Astyanax mexicanus: one gene and its partner. The protein of the gene in region 2 interacts with the protein of the main gene of each other region in a biochemical or structural test. Links are inferred from orthologs where the notes say so. Each region holds a gene or a part of one and is shown on either strand. Other genes may lie near its edges. The genes, in order: kin and mettl22.

What was found.
Region 1: of the proteins of mettl22 (region 2) and kin, one has a biochemical effect on the other in vitro, tested with the Homo sapiens proteins (2 studies listed by BioGRID). The link is inferred for Astyanax mexicanus from reciprocal best matches to the Homo sapiens genes METTL22 and KIN.

Annotation. Positions count from the first base shown.
Region 1 is NC_064409.1:21,088,188-21,098,542, reverse strand, and holds the start of kin (DNA/RNA-binding protein KIN17), read left to right. Parts: upstream 1-6,184; 5' UTR 6,185-6,313; coding exon 6,314-6,427; intron 6,428-7,398; coding exon 7,399-7,493; intron 7,494-8,918; coding exon 8,919-8,962; intron 8,963-9,084; coding exon 9,085-9,207; intron 9,208-9,947; coding exon 9,948-10,132; intron 10,133-10,216; coding exon 10,217-10,320; intron 10,321-10,355. Other genes in the region: atp5f1c (ATP synthase subunit gamma, mitochondrial), read right to left, coding at 49-204, 297-361, 1,236-1,379, 2,322-2,526, 2,909-3,040, 4,743-4,777, 5,279-5,319. UniProt on the Homo sapiens protein: Involved in DNA replication and the cellular response to DNA damage. May participate in DNA replication factories and create a bridge between DNA replication and repair mediated by high molecular weight complexes.
Region 2 is NC_064426.1:5,593,689-5,603,978, forward strand, and holds the start of mettl22 (methyltransferase-like protein 22), read right to left. Parts: upstream 4,548-10,290; 5' UTR 4,106-4,547; coding exon 4,028-4,105; intron 2,144-4,027; coding exon 2,002-2,143; intron 1-2,001. Other genes in the region: transmembrane protein 114, read left to right, coding at 7,513-7,690, 7,786-7,863. UniProt on the Homo sapiens protein: Protein N-lysine methyltransferase. Trimethylates KIN at Lys-135 (in vitro).

The DNA of each region.
Region 1 (10,355 bases), on a different chromosome or scaffold from region 2:
TTGTAAGACAAACAGGATAATGATTATCGCGATGAAGGCTGTATTTACAGGCGTTCTTGCTGGCGCTGTCCATAGCGGTCATCCTAGCGCTCTGCTCGCTGGTGGTGGACTCCTTCAGCCCAAAGTAGATAATGTTGACCAGAGCAAACTCCTGATAGTTCCTCAAAACATCAGCATCGATGTCATCATAGATGCCCATGTTCTCTGCATTGGCAAAAAAGAAAAGATTAGTATATGGCTTTGCATTAACTATAGAATGTGTTGCTTACAAACCATACTGCTGTTTCCAGTATTACCTGAGTTTGCAACTGTGTCCACGGAAAACAGGGGCTTCTCATCTGTCTTGTAGGAAATAACAGACCTGCACACACACAGAGGAACAAGTCTTACTTAGAGCTAATTCTGTACAATAACTCAGTCAACAAAACAAAACAATGAACTGACACAATACAAATGCAGTACCTAAAAAAAGTGAGAACACCCTTCACTATATTATATTACAAAAATGTAAGGGGTGTACTCACGGTTTACTTTTTTACATTTTATTATACATTTTTATGGGACAATACTGAAGATGTACAAATGTATAGTATTCGGTGTAGAGCTTGTGTAACAGTGTAAATTTGCTGTGCCCTAAAAAAAACTTAACGCACAGCCATTTATGTCTAATGTCTAAACTGCCAAATTTTGCAGAATTAGCCATTTTTCCTCCTTACTGTCATAAATTGTTAATGTAACTGTACATACTGACAAAATATTGAACTTGAATGTTTTAATAAATAAATAAATATTGGGGGCTGCACCCCATTGAAAAGAACTGCAGAAATGAACCATCCAATATTTTATTAATGCAATCAGTGCACCTAAAATAAGTGCAACAAGTGCATCTACTAGGCAGACATAATCCAATCCATTCCAGGAGACCCATATGGCAAGGAAAACAAGTACAGTGCAATTTATGCATGCTTAATAGCAATTTGTAGTCAAATCAAATCACAGCATGTGCAACGCAAAATTACATGATTTTATTTTATCACCCTTTTCTCTTTATTTGTTGCTAAACACACAGTACAGTGTATATCTAGCAGGGGCAGATTATAACTACCCAACATTTATGTTACTCCAAAATCTGCTATACAGAGTGAACCATTCATTTAAAGTCATGCTGGACATCCATTTCTGGTAGATTTGCATGTACTTCTGGAGCTCTGCAAAAGGTGCTTTATAACACTGACCTGAATCTGTTGTAGATGATGGAGCCCTGGTCAAACTCATAGCCAGAGTCCAGCAGCTCTATGGCAATGGCAGAAGCATCAGTGAAAGTTGGGGGTTTTCTGCCCACCTCTTTACAGTTCATGAGGATGTGTTTGCCATGGGTCCTGGAAGGAAGAAAACAAGAGAGAGATCACAATCACACACACTATGCTACCTCTGCACACTATGCTACCCAGCATCCACTGATCCCTCTTTGCAGTTTTAAGTTGACAGTAAGTTGCTTTTGTTCCCAGTTGCTTTCATTTTGTTAATATCACCAACAGTTGACTAAAGGAATATTTAGTAGCGAGGAAATTTCTAGCTTAGCATTAGCCACCTGGCTGCCAGGAACTGGGTAAACAGGTTTTAGGATGGTTAAATCGGGCTGCCCCCCTTTAATTAGAGGCTTTTGTGCAGCAGAATTGATGGTATAATTATGTCATTAAAAAATAATAATTATTGTCAGTCATTATTTTTTTTATTATTATTTATTAAAAAAAAAAAATAAAAGGTTTACTTTACTTGTTTTACTTGACTACCTATTTATTTAATTACTTATTTTAAATTATTTATTTGAATTTGTATTTGTTACTGATATTTATAAATTCCTCCAGTGTACAGTTTTTGCCTGTTTGCCCAACATTAATGACTGTGGATTTTATACCAATTAAATGGTACAGAATGCTCTTCTGTAGTTGGCTGAACAGCAGTCCTTCTCTAGTCCTAGAGTCTGACAATGATACCTTTACGATTACAAATGGTAATTGTTAGTTATTAAATGTCTACTCATAATATTCAACGACTAAAACTATTTGGACAAATATTTATACTGGTTATCTGATTTTTTTTAAACATGTATACTAGGTTTGATCTTCAAATTCAGCCATCAGCCATGTTTCTTTTTGTTCAATCAAAAGCTTTTATTTTGGTGCAAAGAAGACATTAAACCCAAATGAAGATGTTAGATTCACAAATAACATTCCATAAAACCAATTCAGCTCCTACAAGGTAAAATTCCAGTGAGAGGCAGTAAGAGACAATAAAATAACAGGAGAAAGAAGCCGTACCTGTACAGCAGACCCCTCAGCTTGTCTCCCACATTCACCACCATCACCTCTTTGCCAGCACCGGAGAGCTTGGCGATTTCATTCTTCATGGCTTTAGCCACGCTGCTGTGGATGGCACCGCACAGCCCACGATCAGACGACACGCCAATGAGCAAGTGCTTGTTCTTATCATCTGTAGCCTTTATGTCAGCCTTCTCATACAGCGCTGCAACACACACAGTACAAATATTACAGTGACAATAAATCACAATAACATCACAGTATGAATGAAATCACAATATGAGCTAATGAAAGCTGAGCTGCTGTATATATCTAAATAGGCCTGTTTCCCCCCCCCGCCAGAGATATTTTTAACATAATGACAATACAATTAAATCATTCTTTATGAACAAAACTTGTTGTATCAATGTTGTGGCATCACAGCATGGCAGCGATAAAGCACCATACTGTCAAGATTATTTGAGTTTGGGAAACTCATTCTGCACATTTGTGATTTGTCAGCAGGTCTCATTGGTGGATTATAGTCTGATGTTATAGCAATGAGATATTTTGCAATTAACAGGCTAAATCTATTCAAGGAAACTTACAGAGAGCACCAGTGCCATAGACACGAGCTGGCTTCAAGGCCCTCTCAGCCCTAGCATACTTGGCGGCGGCCACCATCTTCATGGACTTGGTGATCTTCTGGATGTTCTTGACGGACTTCAACCGAATGGTGACTAAAGATCAAAACAGAAAAGAAATGAACAAAAACGCATCACCGGGTCATACCCCCAGTCAGTCAATATGCCATAAAACAGATGTTACATGCAAGCAAATCAACACAATTAAACTGAATAACATTAGATGCACAATGATATCGGAATTATATCAGTAATTGCTGATAAATGCTTTTTTCCTCCCATTATTTCCAACCTGGTCCTCGCTAAAGCATGAATTGTATGCTGGAAAAGGACCAAACACTGTGGCTACTATGGCACTATGGCTACAGTGATGTTCACTGGGGGCAAACAGAACAGCTCTGCTAGGAGTTCTGAACTTCATAACTGAAGACCAGAGTAATACAGTACAGACATCATACATGTCATATCAAACAGTAGAACCGTCCATATGTAGCTACTAGCCAGCAAAGTTACATCTTAAGGACAGCACAAAATAGCCATTCATTAATCTCAGAAAACAGTTAGCATGCAGGCTAACATGCTCCAGTCCTTACTGCTAAAGTTAGCTGTAAACTAGCATTCCAGCATTCTGTGGTCAATAACTAAAGAACGGAGTGAAATATAGCCATAATCCACTTTTTTATTAAACCACAGATCCTACTAATCTAAACAGCACAGTGCTATCCATCTGTTATCAAACAATAGCTATTAATTCAATTCAGAAATCAGTTAGCATTATGGCTAACCTGCCAGTTTGGGTTTCACAATAAAAGTCTCATGGCAAATCGTATTAAAATGTAAAACCAGCATTTCATTTTATTTGGACTATTTTATTTTATTTGAAACTAACTAAGTAAACTTTTGATCAAAATACAAAATACAAAAAAAACACGTTACTAAAGGTTAATATTTATATCACCTAATATGCCAAGATTTTTGTCAACTGTCTGCCTGACATTACACCTCTAAATCTTGAGGATTTCTATTCTAACATTACAAAAAAAGCTTTAATGTTTTATAAGGAACATTACTGAAAAGCAGAATTGTAATTGTAATAGAAAATATTTAAAAAATATTTACTTAAATATGTCAAAATATAACGAATAAAATCTTAAAATTGTTTTATTCCTAAACTTCATTTTAAAATCAATATTTTCCTGAATATAAATGAAACTGTTCATCTCCTCCAAAACATTCCTTACATTTTCAGACATGCATAATTTGGGTTTGATTCCTGTCACTGACCTGGAATTATTTAGTGGAGTAGAGCATGAACAGGTAGCTCAAGTGTCCAGTTGGATTTTAAAGGCCTCAAATTTTCAGAATGTAAATAAGTTATTTTACTGCAATAAAAATAAGTATTTTGCATCTTCTATAAATGCTTTGTAATTTTTAGGTAAATAAATATGCAGCTTTAAAAAAAAGTCCTTACATACAAATACATACAGTACATCAACTGACTGAGGTTCATCACAAGGAGCTTTTAAGTCAATTATCCCTCAGCTATTTTTTCTACTTAAAATTGTACAGTTTAAAACACTTTAACAGCAGCACAAACAACTAATTTGTAGTATTTAGATATAAAGTCATAAAAGCTATACTGATGTGTAGTCTGTGTGTATCAGACATATCAGTGTGTATATCAGATATATGCATCTGTACAGAATTCCCACATCATTGCATCCCAAACTAAAATAGATAATTATATGTTTAATGAAAATCTCTGTATGTATAAATATAAATGCTTTAGTTTACTTACTGTCCTTCAAGGTAGCCATGTTCCTGACCTGCCCACTGCAACAAGGAGAGGATTCAATCAGTTATATTAAACAGCTTCAGTTTTCTTATAGGGACCAGCATCACTTACATTTTACACTTAAACTATCTATATATTTAGGCCCTAATACTAGATGATATGAAGCAGTCATCAAGCATGTGTAGCTCTAATACAAACAGGTCAAACTGCTAAACCCAACTACAATTTACACAGCTATTTAACTATGTAAACCCGTGTGTTAATTATTTTATTATATTTTGGGTAATATAGGGCAGTGGATAAATGCAGAGGGTTAATATTGATTATAATACTCAGACTGGTGAAGTTCACACTCTCAGGCTTAATCCAGCCGTTGACGTTAAGCTACTGAGGCCTACCGGGACCGGCTCGTCCTTGCGAGCTTCTGACCCGAATAACAGACAGAACCGGGCCCTGAACACCTTCACTGCACAGTAATACTGCTTTACACAATGTCATTAATCAGAAAATGTAAAAATGAAGAGTTTTAAAGGCTTTACCATTGTGGGAGGAACACCACCGCGCTGGCCCTGCAGAACATGTTCACTTCCAATGAAGGTCAGACTGGCCGCACTGCGCATGCGTACAGCGCCTACAAAATGTCGAATCCGGCTGACGTTCGACTCAGTTTACTGAACCGATTCTTCAGGTGATTCAGGTTCTTATTCAAAAACGGTAGATTCACGTTTGAATCGACTCACTTTAATAATATATTAAACGTTTAATAAAAAAAATCAAAATGGTATACTACTGTGGATTACATTTATGAATATTTAATAATTATTTTAAAAAGTCAATCTGTGGGGAAATTCATATCAACCATTAAAAAAATATATATTTGATTATTTGTTATTTTACACACATTTAATATTATTTAAAGCTTATTTTTTTAAATCAGGCTTAAAACCTACTTATATCTGCTGAAAACATACAGGTACATTACATTTGCAAAACTACATTTCTAATTAAGTTTCCTAATTTAGATTATGATTTTTTAGGTGACGTTTTCTGTACATTTATAATGATGTTTTTTATTATGATTTGAAATGAATATTTATTTACTGTATATACATTTAATGTGTAGGATTATATAAAATCCCCCTTTTCGTCGAATGAAGCTATGTGCTGTTTTTGATGCGCAATGGAGAAAATTACGTTATATTTTATTAAATTAAATTAAAACATCAGACTGAAGGAAAAAATACTTATTAAGAGTACTCACCGTATTAAAAGTCTTCAGTCCATAATTTAGTCGTAAACAACAGAAATCTTTACTAAAGCTTCACAGTTTGGGTAAAAAAATTGAAAAGGTTTGACTAATTGAAAGGAACCGATTCAATGGAGTGATTCATTCTGTTCTCTAGCTATTACAGATACACACGAAGTGATGACGTAGAGCGCATACACACACAAACACGAAGCGGCGAGGCAGAAGAACAGAACAGAAACGCAGGAACGGGGCTCTGGAACTGTTAACTAGTTTAGTTTAATAGTAAATTAACGCTTTGTTTATAGGTGTGTAGTCAGGGTTGAACATGGGAAAGGCGGATTTCCTGAGCCCTAAAGCGATAGGGAACCGAATTAAAGCTAAAGGGCTGCAGAAGCTGCGCTGGTACTGTCAGATGTGCCAGAAACAGTGTCGAGATGAAGTGAGTTAACTACAGTTTTCCTTTATTAAGTAGCTGTTAGTTAGCTTAGGTATATTAGTGTTATTTTTATTTTAGTTTCTGTACGGTTTTCTGTTTTCTTTGGTTGTAGTTTATACACTTTGATACGTGATGAGTGTCTGAGTATCGTGATATTGACAAACTCTCATATATAAATTCTAAGCTAGCTAACTAGCTAACAAACGTTATTTACGTTACTGAGTCATATTAGTGTAAAATATACACAAAGCTGTTGTGACACACTTACTCATAGTTTTTTTTAAGTAAAGGGTATTAAAACATAATTTACGCTGCTTTTGTTGGAGTCACTGTCTTTATATTTAGGAAAGACTTTTTCTAGATTCAGAAAATATTACTGTAATATTTCCCCAGCTTCCCAACTAATCTTATTCAAAAGTATTGGATGGAGCTCCATCTTTTCAGAGAACACAGTTCCACTGCTCTACATACTTGGGGTTTAGACCCTTTTAGCTAGAGTAGAATGCTCTGTGCTGGGCTAGAGATTAAATTCAACCCAGACCAAAATTTATGTAATGATATATGTCTTCATCATAAAATTATATAATTTTCTATATTGATGTAAAAGCCATTGCCCTTGGTGTAGGTAATCACACACTGATAGAACTGAGCGATACTGCAAAAATATTACATCACCGCATTTAAAGATAATCTTACGGTACTTAGTATTTTATAGTGTTTTTTGAAGAGATACAATGCTCTAAAATTAGCTAATTAACCAGCAGCTAGGTTATTAAAATGTAGAGCTCCAACACTGTATATCTGTATCTGGATCTTGAAGGGTTGTCTTAATTTTTAGTGGGAGGATTCTTATTTAAACTCTGTTCCAAGGGGAAGTGTTCCACTCAAACAAAGGGGTAGGAATTAGAATTGTGCCATAGTATACCGTCCAATGCTTAGAACAGTGATGTTGATGCTCTGTCTTTCTCAATTAGAATGGATTTAAATGCCACTGCATGTCCGAGTCCCACCAGAGACAGCTGCTGCTCGCCTCTGAGGATCCCAACCAGTTCATGAGCTACTTCTCAGAGTGAGTCCCCCTGTTTCTGAAGGTCACCAGTAGGGGTGTCACGATTCTCTAAATCCTCGATTCGATTTCATTTTCGATTTGAGGGTCACGATTCGATTCGATTCTCGATTTTCTTGTTTTTTTTTTCTTGTTATTATTTTATGCCTCATAAAATTTAAATAATATATTTATTATTATTATTATTATAAATATTATAAATATTATTATTATTATTATTATTTATTAAGATATATATGGTAATGCCATCTAGTGACTTTTTTTGGTAGCAACAGTGTGCACTATTAAAACAAGCAGTTTATCAGAGCTGTGTGTGGATGGCTGGTGAAACTGCTCATTACATGAAGCTGCAGTTCTTCATCCAACCACTAGCAGCAGCAGCACCCCGCTCTCTTCACTCAGTCACTACTTCAGTACAGCCCAGCCACGGGCTACAGAGCTCAGCCAGTCCGTTTTTACTGTTTCTGTAAACAAATAAAGGTTTTAACCCCACTAACCGGATAATACAGCTCACTACAGTTCATCTTTCAGCCCAAGCAGCTAACAGCAGCAGGTTAGAACAGTCGACACGGAGTCACTGCTCGGATTACATTATAAACAGGTCAGTTAGCGCGCTGCTAACCTCAGGATGTTTATAACTACGGAGTTTAGTGGACACACCACGGCCGCCAGGTAAGTCTTTTAAAGGCTACTGAAGACTATTAAAGGCTATTAGAGGTTATTGAAAGCATTATTGGGGGGCAGAAATCAGTACAGGCTGGTTAGATAAGTGATGTTTATTAACGTCATTAAAACAGATTTTGTCAGGTATTGTCTTATAAATATTTACACATAACTTATATCTCTCCTGAAAAGCTTTTATTTTAGTCAGAAACACGCTTGTGTTTACTTTATCTGAGAGAAAGATGTTTTTTTAATTCAATGGAAAGCAACAGGTGTAGTCAATTATAAGTTTAAGATTTTTAATCCACCTCACTGTGATCTATAGTCAGTGTTCTCAAGTCACACTGACACACGCATTTCAGCGAGTTCACACGCTCTCACCTGCGCGCACCCACCCCTCCGTTAGATACAGATACAAAACCTGCGCGCCCAACCCCCGCCCCCCCTCCCCCGTTGGACAGATAAAAACAGTGATCACACTCCCGCCGACTGCGCTCATGCAGCGGCTCTCTATTTAAATGAATAGGATGCGCTGTGTTGGTGCCGCGCCATTTGCGTAGCGCGCTGCGCTATTTGCGTAGCGCGCGCAGGAGGGATCGTCGATCCTCTTTTTGACTTCGATACTCGAGATCGTGACCTCATTTAGATTCGATTTCGATAAAATATCGAGATCGTGACACCCCTAGTCACCAGTCATTAATACAACACTACTTACGTTAATAATCTGTGACTGAAGTTGATAACCTGTTTTAATTTTCTGTACAGGGAGTTTAAGAGTGACTTTCTGGAGCTGCTGAGAAGACGTTTTGGTGAGGCATGGTTTCATGTGATGATCAGCGTATTAAATGATGGTTAAATGATCAGTATGCTGTTATTTACTCTCAGTAATACCTGTCTGTTAAACAGGGTCTGTGTTTTTGTGTGTTTACAGGGACGAAGAGAGTCCACAACAACATTGTATATAATGAGTACATTAGTCACCGGGAACACGTTCACATGAACTCCACTCAGTGGGAGACCCTTACAGATTTCACCAAATGGTTGGGGAGAGAAGGTAAGCACAGAAATATACAAACATGTTTGAGTTATGCATTTAATGAAACAATTGCGGGTACATATGTGACACTTTACATGGAGGAATGTTAAACCCCTGCACAACTTAAGAAATGATATGTCCCATCCATTTATACATATGTATCACTTACAGAGAGACTAGACATCTTGGTATACCTATAAAAGTAATAAAAAATAAATAAAAAATAGCTTTTTAAAACTATCACAGCCACTGTTATCCAGTTGGTCCTGCTTTTTGGGGCATACATTAAATACGTTAACTAGAATTGATTTTAAATATTGGCCATATCGGCTGATGCAGATGATTCTACAAAAAGCATTAATCGACCAATACAATATATCTCCGACATTACTGTGCATCCCTAGTCAGTGTGTGTAAATGACCTCTGTTCTAATTGTGCCCTGTTCAAAAAAGCAGCTGGGGCTGAAAAAAATATACAGAATAACTTATAACTTCAGAGTAAATGTTTAACGCCAAACTTGCTTTTTGTAATTGACTACTTTTTCTGTCTTTCTGACTTATAGTTTAGATTGACAGTGGTGCTATACATGGTGAAATACCATAATTATCGAATGTACAAAAAATAGAATGTACAAAGCATTTCGGCTTAGAGTGAGAATTACAAAGACACCATTCTTCTCCTCACTAGAGTCAGAGGAGCATCAACAAGACCCTGAAGGTAATACGTTATCTATTGTCTGACACATGTGCATATGTAGGGTTTTGTAAAGTGGACGAGACCCCGAAAGGCTGGTATATTCAGTACATCGACCGGGACCCGGAGACCATTCGCAGACAGGAGGAGCTGGAGAAGAAGAAGAAGCAGGATCTGGACGATGAAGAGCGCAGCGCCAAGTTTATCGAAGAGCAAGTGCGGCGAGGCAGAGAGGGCAAAGAGCCAGAGGTACCGCAGCTCTCAGTGCTATGAATTCTGTTTCTGAGTTGTCCAGTTTTATATTTTAACCACGTTCCTGTATTTCCTGTGTAGGAAGAGCCGGTGTTCACTGAGCTGAAGAGAGAGAGCGAGGAGGAGAAGGTGGCCTTCAACCTAGGTGGCAGCAGCTCCTCCTCCTTAGGTCCCTCTAAACCAAGGTTGCCCTAAATACAGTAAAAAGACTTTCATGCAA
Region 2 (10,290 bases):
CTTAAAGCCTGTAATGACTGTATATAATGCTTTATAATGTGTTATGTACTTTAATTTAAAAATTAAAGATGCACATTATAATGTATTATAACTTGTGATACTAGAATATACCATATATGTGTTATAGTGCATTACAACATTAGTATGTTCAACGTTCTTATGAACAGACATTATAAGGCATTATAAACCCTGGCTTTATAAATCCTTATACTTGTAGCTTATAATGTGTTATGAATGTCATTGTAAGCGCTTATGAGTTATTATACAAGCTTATTACAGTCATTATAAGGCATTATGTATGTCATATAACGCATTATAAATACACTCATAATGCATTATGAATACAGGCTTCATAGGAAGTGTTACCGCTCTGGTAAGACATAAAGCTGAACAGGCGCAATATGTCTAGCGGTCTAGCCTTCATTAGCGCAGCAGCAGCTGAACTCAAATGTGACATAAAGGAAAACAAAGCAGACTGGAATTAAGCAACAAGCATGACTGGGGTTATTAGACACAGTAGTAGCATTAATAATGTAACGTTCGCATTAAGCAGATGACACAAGTCTTTTTTACACACAGATTGAGCAGATACTTATCTTTATTCCCTCTTGTCCTTTATACATCTTTTCTCTCTTTATTCTCTATTTATTTCCACATACAGTACAAAAACGTACTACTTCGTAGCTGTTCTGCTTTCTTTGTTGATGTTCATTAATATTTGTCTTTTTTGCTATATTTTCCATCTTTTTCCCCCTAATTTCTGAGGGTTTCTTTATATTCACTCCTCCTTTTTTGCCTGGTATTTTGCTTATATTATTATCTTTCTATTATATGCATAATGACCACAGAAACTATAACTCTGTATAAACACTAATAAAGCTTTATTACTCCTCCAAAGAGAAGGGGTGGCGGGAAAAAAAAGAAGCTCTCTTGAAGCATAAAAACAACAACAGGAAGCATAGAAAATTTTCCCTTAACAAAACATTGTGTTTCAACAACATGTAGGGCTGTAACGATTAGTCGATATAATCGACAATGTCGATTTTTAAAATTTGTCAACTACAAATTTCAATGTCAACTAATCAGTAATTTGTAACAGTACCGCATTACACAGAGTGCTGGTGACAGAAGCGCAATGGGAGATGGGTAAACAGCTCACTCACACAGTTTACCCTCAACTTAGTTTGTGTTTCCAAAAATGCCCAAAACACAAGAGATTACATTTTTAATTACTAAATATCAGTACTTTTCATGTTTAAACCACATTCAGACATCTAAATGCCATTTAAATTTCATGTTCTGCTGTTTCTATCGTTTTTAGAGATTGCAGAAATAATCGCTGACTAATTGATTAATCAAAAAAATAATCGTCAGATTAGTCGACTACCAAAATACCAAAATAATCATAAGTTGCATTAGTTCCATTACAATAGAGAGAAAAGCATCTCTATTTCTTTCAGCCTAAAGCTCAGCACACTGCTAACTGCACTGTGTAACTCTGTTGAAGCAGACAAGAAAATGCATACGACAACTGTGTAATGACATATATGACATTCATATGACAGTCATATTTGTGGTTCTGAATATTGCAGCTTGTCCAGAAATGCATGTGCAGGGCATGTCCTTTACGATTATTTAGATATAAAAAATTAAGAAAGAAAAAAAAAGTATTTGTGCTCCCAAGATGCAAAGGTGCTGTCAAAGGAAGATTCTTGGTGATGCCACAGCCATCCATAGGCAACAGCCATAGAGGGAAAAAACTATGTTTGTCTATGTCTATGTTTTTGGTTATTATGCATAATTGTCCGTATAAATATTCAGTACCTCTAATTAAAATGTTCAGAGATTTTAGTATTTAACGTCCACCGCATCATGTGCATACCAGGAATTCCTTATAGAAGGCATTACCACCCACAGTGGACAGTAAAATAATAATAAAATACAAAAACTGATACATGAATGGCCAGACCAGACTATCATGTGAACCCACCCACCCCTTACCTGGCTGTCCTACGCTATTGAGTCGAACCATGAGGTGACGAACATTTGGCAGCAAAATGTGCACATCTGAGAGCACTGTGTCACTCTGGAAGGTGACCTGGTCCATGGCCACCCCTGTATGTCCTTTCTCCGCCCACTGTTCCTGAAAACAAGCAAATACAAAAGGTATATCACTGATTTAGACGGATAGACAATGGCACTTAGATCTCTGAAATAAAAATAAAGACAGAATTAACCTTTATTAAAATCAATATGGACCTATCCTATAGTCAATTCATCATGAAAAGACTACCGTACACAAGCTAAAGGGCAGCTGGCATTCTAACATAACAGTGGACACAGATGTTTTTGTGCATGACCTAGAGAACAAATACTTTTAAAAAATAGGGCTTTTTCATGGTTAACAGGAAATTAAGGGTTTACAGGAAATTAAACTAGCACACTCTACTGCTAATAGTGGTTTTGAAGAGGCATGTCATCTGCTGGTGTTGATCCACTGTGTTTTATTATCAAGTCTAAAGTCAGTGCAGTTTTGTTTTCCCACAAAATCTTACAGCACTTCATGCTGAACCTCTGCTACTGACAACTTTTATAGAGATGCGGATTTCATTTTCCAGCAGGACTCTGCACACTGCTCACACTGTTAAAAGTACCAATTGGTCTTATATATTATGCTTACTTTCTGAAATACTGACTTTTGGGTTTTTATTAAGTATGGAAGTCATAATCATCAATGATAAAATTAATAAATGCTTAAAGTAGATCACTCTGTGTGTAATACATCTATATAATATACAGTATACATTTCACATTTTGAATAAATTACTGAAATATAGTAACTTTTCAATGATTTACTTTTTTGAGATGCACCTGAATACACATCTTGCTTTCTTTTCCTGCATAGCCATAAGCTGATAGCATGTTCCAAACTAATAAAATGAAAAAAATACACATTATATTTTGGGTTGCACAACAATATCTGTATCTAATTATAACTGTATCCGCCGATAATTGCATTTTCTAGACTCATTGGCATCTGACCAATGCCTAGATTTGTTCGATATTTCAAACTGATATTTGCTGCCATTTATACTGTATGCCAAAAGGACCAAACGATACTGGCTATGCTATTACAACTGTCCAACACTAGGCATGCTTCTAAAATCCATTGATTTAAGATATTTAAAAACAAATATTTTTATTTCTTTCAATAGAAAAAAAAATGTAAAAAAAAAAACAAAAAACAAAACAACTTTTCATTATATTGTTTATATAAAGTTAGTTAAAAGCTACAATACAAGGCAGGTAGATATTGCATTTATTTATAAAGTTATAATGGGGTGTCTAGGCTCTTTGTAAGTAATAAATATGTATATCTGCATTAGCAAATATATACACACGTGTAATATCCTATATCGGCATCGGCAGTGGGAAAACACTGTATCTAAAAGGGTAGCTGTGCAGATAATGATGATGTAGTAAATTTAGGTAATAAATGTGTAACATCTATACAGAAAAGTGTACTAATAGAGATGTAACTGGCAACAGCACTTTAGTTACCCTTTTTTCAGCTGTATGTGAGGTCAGCAAGGTTCTAATGAAAGCAATTAGCCACTATATGCTACCCAATCACTGGCTCAGATTTGTCCTACTGGCAATAATATAAAATAATATAATATAAAAAAGTTTATTCATATGAATAAATGGCTCCATTAATATAATTAATATTTCCCTAGGTCTAACAATATGTGATTAATTAGGTTAGAAAAATCTCAATTCAATAAATTATGTTTTCCATATGTAAGGAATTGTTGCCTCAACATTACTATTCATTCTATGATTAAATAAATTGTTCTCTCAATTTGCTAAAAACATTTCCTCAATTGTATAATTCATTTCCAGAGCTGCATCCTTTACTTTCTTTATTTATTATCTTTTAACTATAATGTTTTTTACTTTGGGGGCTCTGAAAGTGTGTGTATGTAACATACTGAAAAACACAACGATTTTATTTTTTAATACTGACCATTTCCTGGCTTTCAGAAGATTTGTGTTTGTTTTGTTTGTTTGTTTTTTCTGTTTCATGTACAGGACAAATTTTCATATCAGTATCGGTATATTATACACGGTATTATTTGGTACCGAATCTAAAATAACAGCGGTAGTATCGGCCACCTGTATCAGAGACACACTGACCTAACCTACACCTACCTGAAAGGTTATTAACGCTACTCGAGCTGCTTTCTGTTACCCAGCTTTAGTTAACTACTTTTATTTATTCTTTACTGGAATAACAGCACATTTCTGTGGATACTCTGAACTCTTTTTCGGTAGCTCAGTAATTATTTTCGCTGTATAATCAGTCATTAATCAGCTTTAGGGTTAAAGTCAGTGAGGTTAGCTGGCTAAAGCTAGAGGAGACACACCCCCTTATCCCGATGAAATCTCCGCTCTGCAGCTCAACTCCAGCTTATTCAGCCCTCTCTCCACCCGCTGGAGAGGAGGACAATAAAGCACAACTCCTTTCTTAACTCAAGCTTCTCTTTCTGTACCTTAAAATCAGCTCGAAACTTCACCGATAGGCTTTTAGAAACAGAGCTAGCGTAGCCAGATTCAGCGCGCCCGGAAAAAAAGATTACCGTGTGAGTCATGACGCTCTGCACAATAGTTCCGCCTGTCCTGGTTCCTCCTGCACCTGCTGTGGAGCCCTCAACGCAATATACTGTATATGTCTATGGGCCATTCCACCGAATGGTACCATTTCTGTCCCCAGGAAAGATTATTAGTCGTAATGTATTGTACCATGACTTAATTGAAAAGTAAGATATGTAATTAAAAACATTAATAAATAATAAAATAATAATAATAAAAAAATAGCATCTGTTACGTGTCCCCACTCTCTAAAGAGATGTATTTGTTTGCATTGTTGTGAGATTTCAAATGCCATATATGCTTAAAAATATATTTTTCATAATAAATTAATCATATTTGTGTTAAAATACACATTTTTGTTGTGTCCCTGGGTTTCACACCGTCCTGATACCATAACACATTACCCCATCTGAAACATCTGGCACATTCTACAAGTCACATTTACAACAGGAAGTGACATCAGTTGGTTCTTCTTAAGATTATGGAGAAAATAAATAAATAAATTAAGTTCCCTCATTTGCTTTTCTGTGTATTTGATCTTATTTTAACTATGACTGAGGAGCTCAACACTCAACATCTCAACACTCTGTCCAGTTAACTAGTTTAATTTTTATTTATTTTTAAAATACTAATTTTGGTAAAATAACTAAAATGTGCATAGTCTCCTCATGCTATTAACTATCTTTTGCTATGCTATGTTTTTGCTAATTATATGCTAAATCCCATTCCTATTACTTTAATTCCTGTTACTCAAAACATAAAAAGTAATATTAATAAGTGCCAGAAATAGCAATGAGTTCCAGTAACAGAAAGTAATAGGAGTGCCATTAATATGATTTTTTTTCAATGATATTCAGATTTTTTGAGATGCACTAGTATATACATGTGTAGCATCTAATATCTGCAATATTGTCATTAGTATTTTTTTTAATACTGAGCATTTTCTTTTTATCTTTTTTTCTTGGCTGGATTTTCTCAGTCAGCTTTATGAGGTGGAGTCACCTGGATTGGTTTTCAGGTAACAGCTGTACTGAATTTCTTGCCTTTTAATTAGTTTGAGAGCATCAGTTGTAAAGTTGTGAAGAGGTACAGTTGGTATACAGTGAATAGCTCTATTTTGAGTTCTAATCCAGATTATGAGAAGAACTCTCAACTAATTAAAGAAAACGAAATACGAAAGAAATGAAGGTCAGTCAATCCGAAACATTTCAAGAACTTCTTCAAGCATCTTCATTTTTCAGTCGCAAAGACCATTAAAAATGTTATGATGAAACTGGCTCTCATCAGGACTGCCCCAGGAAAGGAAGAGCAAAGACACACCGACATGCCTTAAATCCAGCTGCGCAAAGCACAACTGACTGGTGGTGCTATAGATGTGGTGAAGAGAGGTGTGTAAGACTGATTGGGAGAGACTAAGGAGAGAACAGAGTGAGCAGGAATGAGGGATATTAAGAGTGAAAGTGTGTGAGAGAGAGGGAGTGTGAGAAGGGGAGCGATACATAAAGATGAAGAAAGAGAGAAGCAGAGCAATGAAAAAGAGAGATAGTGTGTGTAAGAGAGAGAGAGCGAGAGAGTGGGAAGAGCAGAAGAGATAAGCTTAGACAAAGTGGGGGTGACTGATGATAGAAACATAGAGACAGAGGGAGGGGGGAGATTTAAAGGTGGAGAAAGACAGTAAGGTAAACAGAGAATGAGTGATATTGAGAAAGAGTGAGAAAGAGAGAGCAAGAAGAGGACGGATATGTAGAGAGAGAAAGAAAAAAACAAGGAGATGGAATAATGGTAGAGAAAGAAAAGAGAGAGAGAGAATGTTGAGAAAGTGGAATAGAAGAAGAAGAAAGAGAAGTGTCAGATAGACTGAGTAAAAAACAGAGAGAGAGAGAGAGAGAGAGAGAAAAAAGAGGGGAAGTGAAAAGAAGGTGGAAAGCATATAGAGAAACAAACAGGCAGAGAGAAATAGAGAGAAGAATGAGAGATATAGTGAAGATGAGGAGAGAAACAGAGAGATGGAGAATAGGACAAAGGGAAAGAGGAAAGAAAAGGGAAAAGAGAGAGAAATAGTGAGGGACTTGAGATATATTGAAAGACTGAGATATAGAGAAAAAGGTAAGATGGGGCAGAGAGAGAGAGAGATAGACAGAGAGAGAAATAAAGACATAGAGAGGTATGGTTAGATAGAGAGCAAGTACGGAATGGGAGAAATAAAGAGCGAGGGATATTGACAGAGAGAAAGAGAAAGAGAGGGAGAACATAAAAAGCAGAGGGATGAATAGAGAAATACAGAGTGGGGAGAAAGAGAGAGAGAGAAAGAGAGGCAAGGATAAAGAATGCAGGTGAGAAACAGAGAGCGAGGGATATTGAGAGAGAGAGAGAGAGAGAGGGAGATAGAACAAGAACTGCAGGGACAATAGAGAAAGACAGAGTGTGGAAGAAAGATATAGTGAGGGATATTGAGAAATAGAGAAAAAGGTAGCGAAAGATAGGGCCAAAGAAAAAGAGAGATAGACAGAGAGAGAAGGGAGGTATGGTTAGATAGAGAGCAAGTGAGTAATGGGAGAAACAGAGAGCGAGGGATATTGATAGAGAGAAAGAGAAAGAGAGGGAGAACATAAAAAGCGGAGGGATGAATAGAGAAATACAGAGTGGGGGAGAAAGATAGAGAGAGAGGATCATTTATAGTGGTCTGTTAATAGAGCACACTGCCGCCTCCTGTTCACAACCCCACACTGCAGTAAAGACCCTCACACACACACCAGCCACACACACACACACCCTCACACACTCACACAGGCGCTCCAGCTGCTCTCACTGCTGTTCTGTACTCAGCCTGGAGCCCACAGGAGACCCTCAGCTCTGAGGATGAAGCTCACTCTGGGGGGGCTGGCTGTGTCTGTGGCCTCTTTCGGGGTCCTGAGCTTCGTGTGTCTGATTCTGGCCATTGGGACGGATTTCTGGTACATTATTGACACCTCTAAAAGAGACACCAACTCCTCTGTTCCTCTCAGCTCACACTCTGGACTGTGGAGGACCTGCAACCGTAAGTCTCTTCACTGTCTGTGTGATAGAAATGATTTATTATATAATATATATTTATAAGTTTGTGTTTAAGTTCTTTTATAATTTTTTATGCAGTTCAGAACCAGTGCTGGCCGTTTATGAATCCATTCAGGAATGGAAGAAACTTCACAGACTCTCAGAGGCAGATACTGAGTAAGAGCTGCTTTATTTCTTTTCTTTAAATTTGTAATAGATAATGCATTTTATTGCTGCTTTTCTATTGGTCCATTCATTATAAAATCTGGACATAATATCAAGAACAACTGACAATAAACAGCATTTTGTGAAAAAGTAAAAATCAACAAAAAGAGACTATTTTTGTATGACAGCGATAATAATAATTATTTCTTACATTGTAAATGAATACTGAAGTCATTCAGACTATGATGAAACACATAAGGAATCATGTAGTAACTTAAAAATGTTAAACAAACCAAAACACTCTGTGAAGAAGCATTTAGGTGCTCTTATCTGGTGAGCTGGTAACTTGCGGCTTCTGAGGCTGGTAACTCAACAGATGTAACTGTTTCTCTGATTAGAACCAGTTTCATTATATAATTTTTGATGGTCTTGTAAGTTTTTGAACTTTTTCAGACTGACTGACCTTCGTTTCCTAATGTACATATTTTTCTTTAGTTACTTGTGTAATTCTTGCCATAATACTGATTACAACATTACTCAAATATTCACTATTCACTGTATACCTGTAACTCTACCTCTTCACTACTTTACAACTGATGCTCTCAAACATTTTATTAAGAGGCAAGAAATTCAACAAGTAATTAACTCTTTATGAGTTCAGCAGCACAGCTGTTAACTGAAACACTGGAATTCCAGGTGACTCTACCTCATAAAGCTGACGAAGAAAATCCAGCCAAGATGTGCAAAACTGTCTAATCTAAGCAAGAGGTGCTAGTTTAAAGAATCTAAAATATAAAACATATTCTGGTTTGTTTAACACCTTTTTATGTTTATTAAATATTTCCAATGAGCTTAGTATTAATCTACAGTGCAGAAGATTTAAAAATAATGAAAAAAAAAAACTAGTGAATTCAAGGTGTGTCCAAACGTTTGACTGTTACTGTATGTTAATCCTAGTTCAGAGGTTTTAATTACTTTCTTTCTGTAATATATTAGCGATTTAAATGGCTGAGTAAACAAATTGGTCTGATTTGTTCAACTTTATGCATAAATAACCCTCCTGTTATGTTCATTTGTCAGGAACAGCAAAGGTCTTCTAGGGTCAGTTTGACCCGGTGCACTTTTAATTATTCAAAAGATTAAAAAAAAACCTTACAAGCAGTGTTAATATTTCATTACTAACTCCATTACTAATTATTCTATCAATATTTAGTGCAATGATGTTCCTTACCTCTAACAGGTAATGGGATAATCGATAAGTATAATTCACAAATCCCCCCCCCCCCCCAAAAAAAAAAGAAATATATATATATATATATATATATATATCACTACTTTATTCCTTTTGAAACACCAACATATAAAACACAATAGTTTTACATAACATAACATAATTTAAACATAACATTACAATTTTGTTTCAGTTTAGTTTTTGCAATTTTGCCAATATGTGAGATGAACAATTTTCATATTATATGTTGATTACTCTAATTAAAGCAAGCAGGAGAAGGTTTTTTTTTTTTTACAAAAAAAAATACTTGTAACTATTTTTCCTACATCTTCAAACTTTAAAACAGGTCATAGAATAAAGGTTATATAATTAAAACAACAATGTTCAGAGAAACTGATTCAGAAACTTGGTCTCTTAAATTTTGTATTTTGAACATATGAAAAGGGAGGCCCATAACCATATAGAATTTTTGGATTGAACCATATCTCATGTATCTAATCTTCTCCAGTTTCACTACATTACACATTTCTTGGATTTACATGGTTTAGGTAGAATTCTGTAGTATTAATTTTCTATTTTCTTATATGGGGTGGTAAATGAAATGACACAAAGTCAGACTCCACCATTGGACAGAGAACGTTTTGGAAACTCCTGATTTTGTCACTTATTTTACTTTGACTCTTCTGTTCCTTCCGCAAGTGGATCTCCTCAGAAAGCCAGAAAGCTTTCATGAATAATGAAATAATTGCACTTAACAGTAGTTTGAGCTGGTAATGAGATCATTGAAGGGAAGCCTGTTGGAGCACCATGCCACATTAAAGCACAGAACACACTCAGAGCATCATCATCAGCTGCGGTTTATCTAGAGTACCTTCGTCTTCAGAAGTAAAATTGACTCCAGCACTAGAATAATAACGATCCGCTCTGCCACGCCTGGATACATTTCCCTCAGTCAACGTCTCCATGCATGTCCAGATGTGAGCGCTTAGAAAATAATGATGATTGAAAAGTGTACTCAAGAAATCCCACAGAAAATCAGGCTTGGGTCTGATACTTCATTAGATTGATGAGCCTGAGAGATACAGTGTGGACACAGTCAGTGATCTGCACTTCTGATTCTGTTCAAGTGTTTGTGGACAGCCTATTATAATGAATGCATTCAGCTTCTGACTGTAAAAAGCATGGGTTCAGTGATTCAATTCCCTTCC